Linked DNA regions of Caenorhabditis elegans. The protein of the gene in region 1 purifies or fractionates together with the protein of each later gene. This does not show direct contact. Each region holds a gene or a part of one and is shown on either strand. Other genes may lie near its edges. The genes, in order: T06D8.2 and F23F12.13.

Region 1 (3,925 bases):
GTTTGATCAAAATGCCATGCTCGGCGTTTTCATTTCTGCTTCAACACTAAACAAAAAAATATTTCAAATATGTTAAAGGTTGTCTAAATAGAGCCCGGGTACCCCCAAAGAATCAAAAATTCGATCATTGAAATTTAAATTTTCAAAATTTAATTCTCTCCAGCTCTACATCTACTACATGATTAACTTGCGTGGAGCCCCACTTCTCCGCCCACTCCTTATCTTCGGATTCATGGGACTCTGCATCGTCGACTCGTTCTCCCGTATCAACGGATACAAAAACCATTGGCGTGACATCTGGGTCGCATGGGTCATCGGAATCTTCATGGCTTGGTTCTTGGTGAGTACCTTTAGTAGGCTAGAAATGCAATATAATCTATGATCCTTGTTCAGTGCTACTGCGTCCTGTGCTTCCAAGAAGTCTACCATATGACTATCGAACGTACGCCGATTGTTCAAGAGGAGCGCGTCTCGCCGTTCTTCAGTTGGTTTAGACTTCCACGTGTTCAGGCTCCGTCGGTGAAGGAGGAATATGTGTAAGTTATCAGGTTTTTGTTAGAGTATCTAGGGTTTCAAATTATGGGCTCAAATAAGTTGTTGCTTAGCTTTTACTGCGGTTTTATTACCCATAAGATTTTTGGCTTTTGACATAAAAATACAGTATCGGGTCTCGAAACGATCAAGACCTCGCCGATACAGTATCTAGAAGGATTTCGAAATTTCTTTGAATTTTCTACAAAGTCATAGATTTTGCAATAAAAAAGGGAATCAGACAAAAAATGTTAATTGTATTTTTCTGTCCAAGGTCGCAATATTCCGCAACATGGTAATAAGTAGGCAGGTATAGTGCGCAGGCGCAACTTCAGAACCTGTCTGAACCCCGCCTGCCTATCACCTCTATTCTACGTTGTGGCGCGAATTTACGAGTTTCTAATATTCTTGTAGCTTTAAAATTTGAACTGCAGCGCCAATTTTTGGCGTTCTAGAATGGTCTAGTTCAAATACTTATACTTTTCCATATTTCCAAAAGTTAGGAAACATCCAATAAAATATGTCCAATCACCTAATTTTAGCGTCTACGAGGAAGACGTGGAGCGGCCGAACGGCACACTGCGAAACCGTCATAACCAAGGAAATCGTCAATACGAGGTGACGACAACAACGGAATCCTTCCATAGAACCATCAGTCCACAACAGCAGCAACAACAGCAGCAGGGACATCAAAATGATGGATATCGGTACTAGGTGCATACACTATCAAAATCTCATATCTCTAATTTTCTCCAATCCCAGAAACCCAGTTTTTTTCTTAATTCTGTTATGCTCATCAAAAAGAATTTCTCATCTCTTTCTCTCCCGCTCTCACTTAATTATTTTTTAAATTAATATTTAATCTAACTATGATATTTAAATAAATTTCTCTTGTATGTGTATATACCGTGCTCTTAGCGGAATGCGGCATTTTCTCTATGTCTCTGAATACCCGGCAGTCTTTCGCTTTTTTTGCTTTTACAATTTTTTCGTTTATTTCTTTTTTTTTGCTTTGTTTTGCACCACTCAAACCTTCAACAATAAATTATTCAAATTTCGTATGTTTTTGTGCCCGTCTTGACAACAGTCTCCATGGAGCTCGTCTGAAGATGGTCGAGATGTGTTTTCGTTATATTAGTCATAAGTCGTATGCAGCTGGAGTACGTTGTCTCGCATATTGGCGGAGTGCCAAATTCCGATAAACAGTATCTTTTGGAGAAACAGTGGGTTTCTGAAAAGTGAGTTTTGAAGAATTCCAGTAGAATTTTGAAAACTATCAACTGAGAACAGATAAGATTAGTTGCAGTTATCAACATTTTTTAAAGTATGTTAAAACTTTGCCGTCACTTTTATAAGTAAAATTTTGTCTGAAAATGTATGGAGGGTTATTTAGGATATCTTGGTCATGTTGGACTATCTGAAATTTGTGAATTCGTACAAGTTTTGGCAATAAGCAGGACTAGTAGTAGGCAGGCAAAATTAAAAAATATATCAAGTTTCATTCAAAAATTTGAATTTCCGCGTAAAGGCAACTTCTTATGAAATTTTAATTCAGCCACATTCATTCATTTTCGATCATTTTTGTGGCAAAAATCTAAGTGTTAGCGGATCTTTTTGATTTTTCTTGTATTACAGTTTCAAAACCGGAGCTACTTTTTTTTCAAGGTCCTATTTTTCCAACAAAAAAAATTTGCTCCCAAAAACAAAATTTCAAAACACTTCAGAGTTCAAGAATAACCAAACATCTCAACACAAAACATACTAGAATATTCATTTTTCTGATTTTCAGATCCCTTACCTTCCCAGTGGAAATTGAGCTTCATCTCCGTCAAAAGAGTGAAATTGAGAAGATAGAAATTGTTGCCCATAACAAGTTCATACCGAAAAAAATCTCGATATACTCTGGCCGAGACGAGGAAGGATATATTGGGTTTGTCAATTATTAAAGTTAGTAATCTTAGCTTCCACATTTCCAGGGATGTTCAGTTTAAGAGCAGGAAAAGTGACGATCAAAAGTATGAGCTGAAAAATGTGTTTCTTGATGAAATTTGCTCCATGTTGCTTTTAAGTGTATCAGAAGCCCATGCAGATGTTATCAATAATTTGGAATCTTTGGTTGAATCTTTGTAATTCAAAAGATCTAGTATAAAGTTCAAAAATGTTAAGGTTGGTCTAGTCGATGTCAAGCTTTTTGGTAAATATCTCCCATCTGACGAGCCCATTGAAGCAGATCCTCGAGATTTCAAACCGGGGATTCCGCAAAATGTGATTCCAGATCACAAATATTCAAAAGAACTTCAAGCAATGATTGGTGCAATAGAGAGGAATAAGCAGACGGCTGTTGCGGTAGGTAGGTTTTAAAAAAGTGGAGATCAAATTGATAACTTGTAGAATGAGGACTTCAAGCTAGCAAAATCAGCTCAACTAGCTGTTCGGGATTTGAAGAAATCTACAAAAGAAATGGAAGAACTGGAAAATGATAAAGGCGAGGCTGTAGCTGATGAGGATTTTCAAAGGGCGAATGATCTACAAGGTATGTCACTGCTGCATATCCAAACTTCTACTAATACCCCTACTCTTCAATTTTCAGATGAAATCACTGCGTTACGATCGAATATCCTTGCATCAGTTGATCCACGGTTGCTGGAGGATACCATGGTTCGTAATTCTATAAATATTATTTCACTAACGTTTAGAAGTTAAAGCCGAGAAATGAAGAGATACATCGGCCAAAAAATCTCTTCCCAGAGAACTCGGAGCTGCCTTCCAAACCGAAGCTTTATCAACCAGTTGGTGAGTTTTTTCAAAAAAAAAGTTTAACACTTAAAGTTAACTCCAACATTCTTTCAGACCTTTCCCCAACTGAAGTTCAAGCTGATCCATCTACTGCATTCCTTCTCCCACCTAGACCACCTTCTTCCAGTTCTTCCAGAAGAACTGTAACCCCGAAAAGACCCCAAACAAATGACTCCGTGTCAACTAGAAGAAGTAGTACAACTTGGGAAGTTCCGATTCGGCCGACTACTATGAACTCTCAAATTTCAAGAAAAAGGACTCCATCACCAGTTGTCAGAAAGGCTCCGAGTTCTTCATCATCGAATTCCACTTCTTCTTCTTCAAGACGTGAGCGACTTGAAAAATTAATTTCAGAATGTCAGACTGAATCCAATTTTCAGGAAGAAGCAATAGTATTGGAATGGGAACAAATAAGTTCCTTGAGAAAGAAAATATGATTGTTCCAGCCGCCTTGAACAGAAAACGATCGTCTTCTGTACATCTAGAATCTCAAGATTTTGTGGATAAATCCACGGATGATATAACTGAAGAGCAGGTTCTTTCGATGGTTCCTCCGGATCAGCGTGGAAATGTTAGATCAGCAATTTCACTTTTTGGA
Region 2 (3,925 bases), on another chromosome or scaffold:
TTCCGACGCCTGTACCAAGGCTGCTAATTTGGCACTTCATCCATTATTCAGAGCATCTAACATTTATCAAATGATTATTTCATATCTTTCAATTCTCCCATTGTTTTATTTTTTAGCTTTCAAATTTTCCAAATCAAGTTTTCATGGAAATTTGAAGGTTATATTTTATTGCTATTTTATAACATTAATTTTATTTTCGACAGTATATGGAGTAACCGCGGTCGGGCTGTTAGTAATTTCAGTTTTAGTACAATTGGAAATATTTCAGACAATTCAATTTATTCGGCCACTCACTGCTATTAGGAGTTGTGATCTAATAGTTCCTTCACTTCATCATAAGATCGGAAATCTTCCCATCTGTTTTTTAGTAACACTTTCCGCGTACTTCCCGTTCACAATTACAGTTGAAAGATATTACGCAATGAACAAATCTGAAAAATATGAGAAAATGCCAATCATATTGGGACCACTTTTTGTTTTATTCATTGTAAAATTGGAGTTAAAGATCAAGGATAAGGTAACATTGTTTCAGGTTATTGTCAATTTCGGAGTAATTTTTCAAATTTACAAAAATGAAACGTTTTCTCATGGCGATGTAGCATTTTCTTTGTATCCTCCAGGCACGGCTGAGAAAGTTTGAAAAAAGGTATACTGAAACTTTAAATAATAATAACTTCAGGTATTCACATTTTATGTGGTATTATTTTTAATTAATCTACTTGATGTCATGTTTAATTTGGTTCTACTTCGTAAAAACATTAAACTTAAAAAGAAACTTACTCATTCTCCTCTAACTGCAAAATATCAACTCGAAGAAGTTTATCAGACTACTAAATTTTCTATTCTCTTAATTTTAATTTATATATTTTCATTTGCAATTTAATGCATCCGGACTTATATTTTTCCGGTACTTGGGGAATCTAATCATCTCTGAACCAAACTTGCTTTTTGGTATTCGAACAATATTCGCAACGGTTACGAAGATCAAAGAGCCTAATTTTAACTGAGAATAATTTCCAGATTGTACCTACCTATCACTTTATAATTGGAATTTTCTCGATTTTATTCTTCAATCGAATAAAATCAAAGAAATGAGAACGAGCAACTATTCAAATGTCTTCAACTGGAAAATCTGGAGCAAATAATTATGATCAAGCTATTTTTAGTATTTGGAATTCCATTTCTGCCGTAACTGATAGAACTGTTACATTGACTTGAATACTTTGAACTTTTGTGTGACTTTTTGCAATAAAAGTAGATGATAGGATTAACTTTTAGAGCATCATTGAATCAAAGAGAAAATGAACATTTTGATCGACTTGGACTTGATAAGAAATTTAAAGTTGCTGACTGGGTATTTGAAAATTTTAAAAGTATGGAAGCCATAACTTTCGTAAGCTGAAAAAACAAACTCAATAAAATTCTCCTTCAATAATTCTACCTCGTGAAAATTGCTCGTCAAGAGATCAGGGAAATAATGTTCTGCAATATCGAAAAATAGGAAAAAATGAATTTATTGCAGTTTTTTCAAAAGCAGATTTTTCTTGCTAAAACTCAAGATGGGATATCTTTTTAGGATCTTGTAGTGAAATATGAAGACCATCTAACGCTATATTTTTATATAATTCCTCGATCTTGTTTGTGTCTATCGTATAGCGGTCTTAGGTTAACGAGTTTTTCGCAAAAAATGTTTTCATTTTCAGTTTAATAAAGAAAAAAAGAAACATAATCTATAATGTTTTGTTTCATTTTACCGGCAGCTAAAAAATGCCGATTCTCTTTCATTTTCTCTCGTTTTCAGCTGATAAGTCCCAATAGTTTATCACGTTTCAAACTGATAAGAGATTGTTCGGCTTGTCACATTTTTCTTAGTGTTTGCACCATAATCGTAATTGGTCTATCATTAATCACAGGCTGACCATACCTACCTTTTTTTACTAGAAAAGTATTCAATTAATTATGCAAAATTGATTATGTAAAATGAGGCTGCAACTTTAAAATTACCAGTCTTCAGTTATTATTTGAAAAAGCTTCCATTTCTTTTATTAAGCAGTAAACTTGAGCGAGCACACCAATTCAATACCAGATTTTTTGTGAAATTATTAAAATTTTCAGAAATGTCATTTCTCAACACAAATCGCTTCCACTGGTTATGTTTTTTCCTTTGGCAATTTGCACTTTTCTTTTGTTGCCAGCAAATTTTTTCGGTAGGAAAATAATTGAAAATTGCCTTGTAATCTTGTTTTTTTTCAGATTTTCTACAATTTCAGTCCAGGCCTGTCTTGTGATGATCCCAGTTTTCAGTTTTCAAAACCGAAATGCAAGCTTTCAAAGTAAGTTTGCTCTGAAATTTGGGTTTTTCGGACTACGCGGAACATCTTTTTTTCAGATCAGAAATATGCTCAGAACTCACAGCAAATTGCTCTAAAATAGTCATTGAGGAAGCTCCTTTCCACTCAATGGTTCAGGATTTTAAAATGTTTTGTGGAACAAAAGCTTATGATGCTGCATGGGTAGCCACTATTCAATTCATTGGAGTTCTTATTGGAGCTATTACTTATGGACATTTGGGTGATCATTTTGGTAGAAAACCTGTTTCATTTTTTGGAATCTCTGTGGGAATTTTGTTCGGAGTAGCTTCAGGTTGGCATTTTGAGAAAATTAGAAAGTATTACTTCAAAACAAAGTTGAAGATTATATTCTTATCAACCTTTCTATGAAAGCAAATTATTCAAAAAGTATTCGAATAAGGCGGTGGACAGCTATTGAGATTTTCCCGCGTGGGTTCGAATCTCATCCTGATCGAATACTTTTTGCAATTCTTACTTGCTATGAAACTATTGAACCGAAATTTCTAACACTACAATTTCGAAAAAAATCGACTTTCACAACTGCATTCTTGATTATGGAAATTATTATTTTTCTCTTTTTCAGGATTTGCTCCATCATGGGAAGTTTTTGCCGCTTTCAGATTCATCGTTGGTACTTCGATTGCTTCAATTCTCATTGTATTCTATGCATATATTCTGGAGTTTATTGAGCCTGAGCAAAGAGTTTTCTTGAGATCTTTCTTTAATTGGGTAGGTTTTCATTAACCAGTAGTGCGACTTTCAGGCACTTCTCGAAAAATAGATAAATATTATTTAACTGAATGCAATAAATCTTATATACAATATTTAGGGTTATGCTCGTCTAGTTTTCACTCTTGCTTGCTTTATCTGTGGCTACTGGAGATCTGCTGCAATTGCCACATCACTTCTTTCACTCCCAATTCTTCCAGTTCTTTTAATCTTACCAGAGTCCCCGAAATGGTGAACCCTCACTTTTCTTAATTAATTATATTTTTTAATCTGAAGTTTTAGGTTTAATACCAAAAAGAGATTTCGAGACGCAAGGGCGGCTGAGAAACGTGTTGCATGGCTATCAGGGATCCCATACGTCAATGACGAAGATCAAAGTATAGAAATATCTGAAAAACTAGAAGAGAAGAGTACGAAGATCTATACAATGAAAGATTTATTCACTTCCTGGACAATTGCATATCGTACAATTGTGGTCGGATCTTTGTGGTTCTCTACAAGTTTATCAGCGTTTGGTTCTGACTTGAATTCTGGGAATTTGGCTGGAAATTTTTATTTGAGTCAGTTTGTGTCCGGTGCGGTGACCGCATTTGCAAAAATTGTGAGTGCATTTTGAAGTTATTAACTAAAATGTAAAGTAATGATCACATTATTTTCCTAGTTGTACGTCTCACTTAAATTTAGAATTGAAGCTGTGTCTCAAATAGACTCAGAAATAGTGAACAATATTTTCGGCCGAACTTTGAATGTTTTATAGCACTTTTGTTAATAATTATTTCAGTTTGTATTCCTATTGGATACCTATGTTCCATCATTTGACCGTCGGCGTCTACACCAATATCCTC

What was found.
Region 2: the proteins of T06D8.2 (region 1) and F23F12.13 fractionate together in Caenorhabditis elegans (co-fractionation; one large-scale study listed by BioGRID). This does not show direct contact.

What each region holds. Positions count from the first base shown.
Region 1 is NC_003280.10:11,224,999-11,228,923, forward strand, and holds the start of T06D8.2 (UVR domain-containing protein), read left to right. Parts: upstream 1-1,680; coding exon 1,681-1,769; intron 1,770-2,320; coding exon 2,321-2,461; intron 2,462-2,507; coding exon 2,508-2,646; intron 2,647-2,697; coding exon 2,698-2,877; intron 2,878-2,922; coding exon 2,923-3,064; intron 3,065-3,121; coding exon 3,122-3,189; intron 3,190-3,236; coding exon 3,237-3,324; intron 3,325-3,381; coding exon 3,382-3,654; intron 3,655-3,707; coding exon 3,708-3,925. Other genes in the region: plpr-1 (Phosphatidic acid phosphatase type 2/haloperoxidase domain-containing protein), read left to right, coding at 164-340, 394-536, 1,074-1,245.
Region 2 is NC_003281.10:6,493,564-6,497,488, forward strand, and holds the start of F23F12.13 (Major facilitator superfamily (MFS) profile domain-containing protein), read left to right. Parts: upstream 1-2,109; 5' UTR 2,110-2,117; coding exon 2,118-2,207; intron 2,208-2,253; coding exon 2,254-2,333; intron 2,334-2,389; coding exon 2,390-2,643; intron 2,644-2,934; coding exon 2,935-3,080; intron 3,081-3,180; coding exon 3,181-3,311; intron 3,312-3,362; coding exon 3,363-3,681; intron 3,682-3,861; coding exon 3,862-3,925.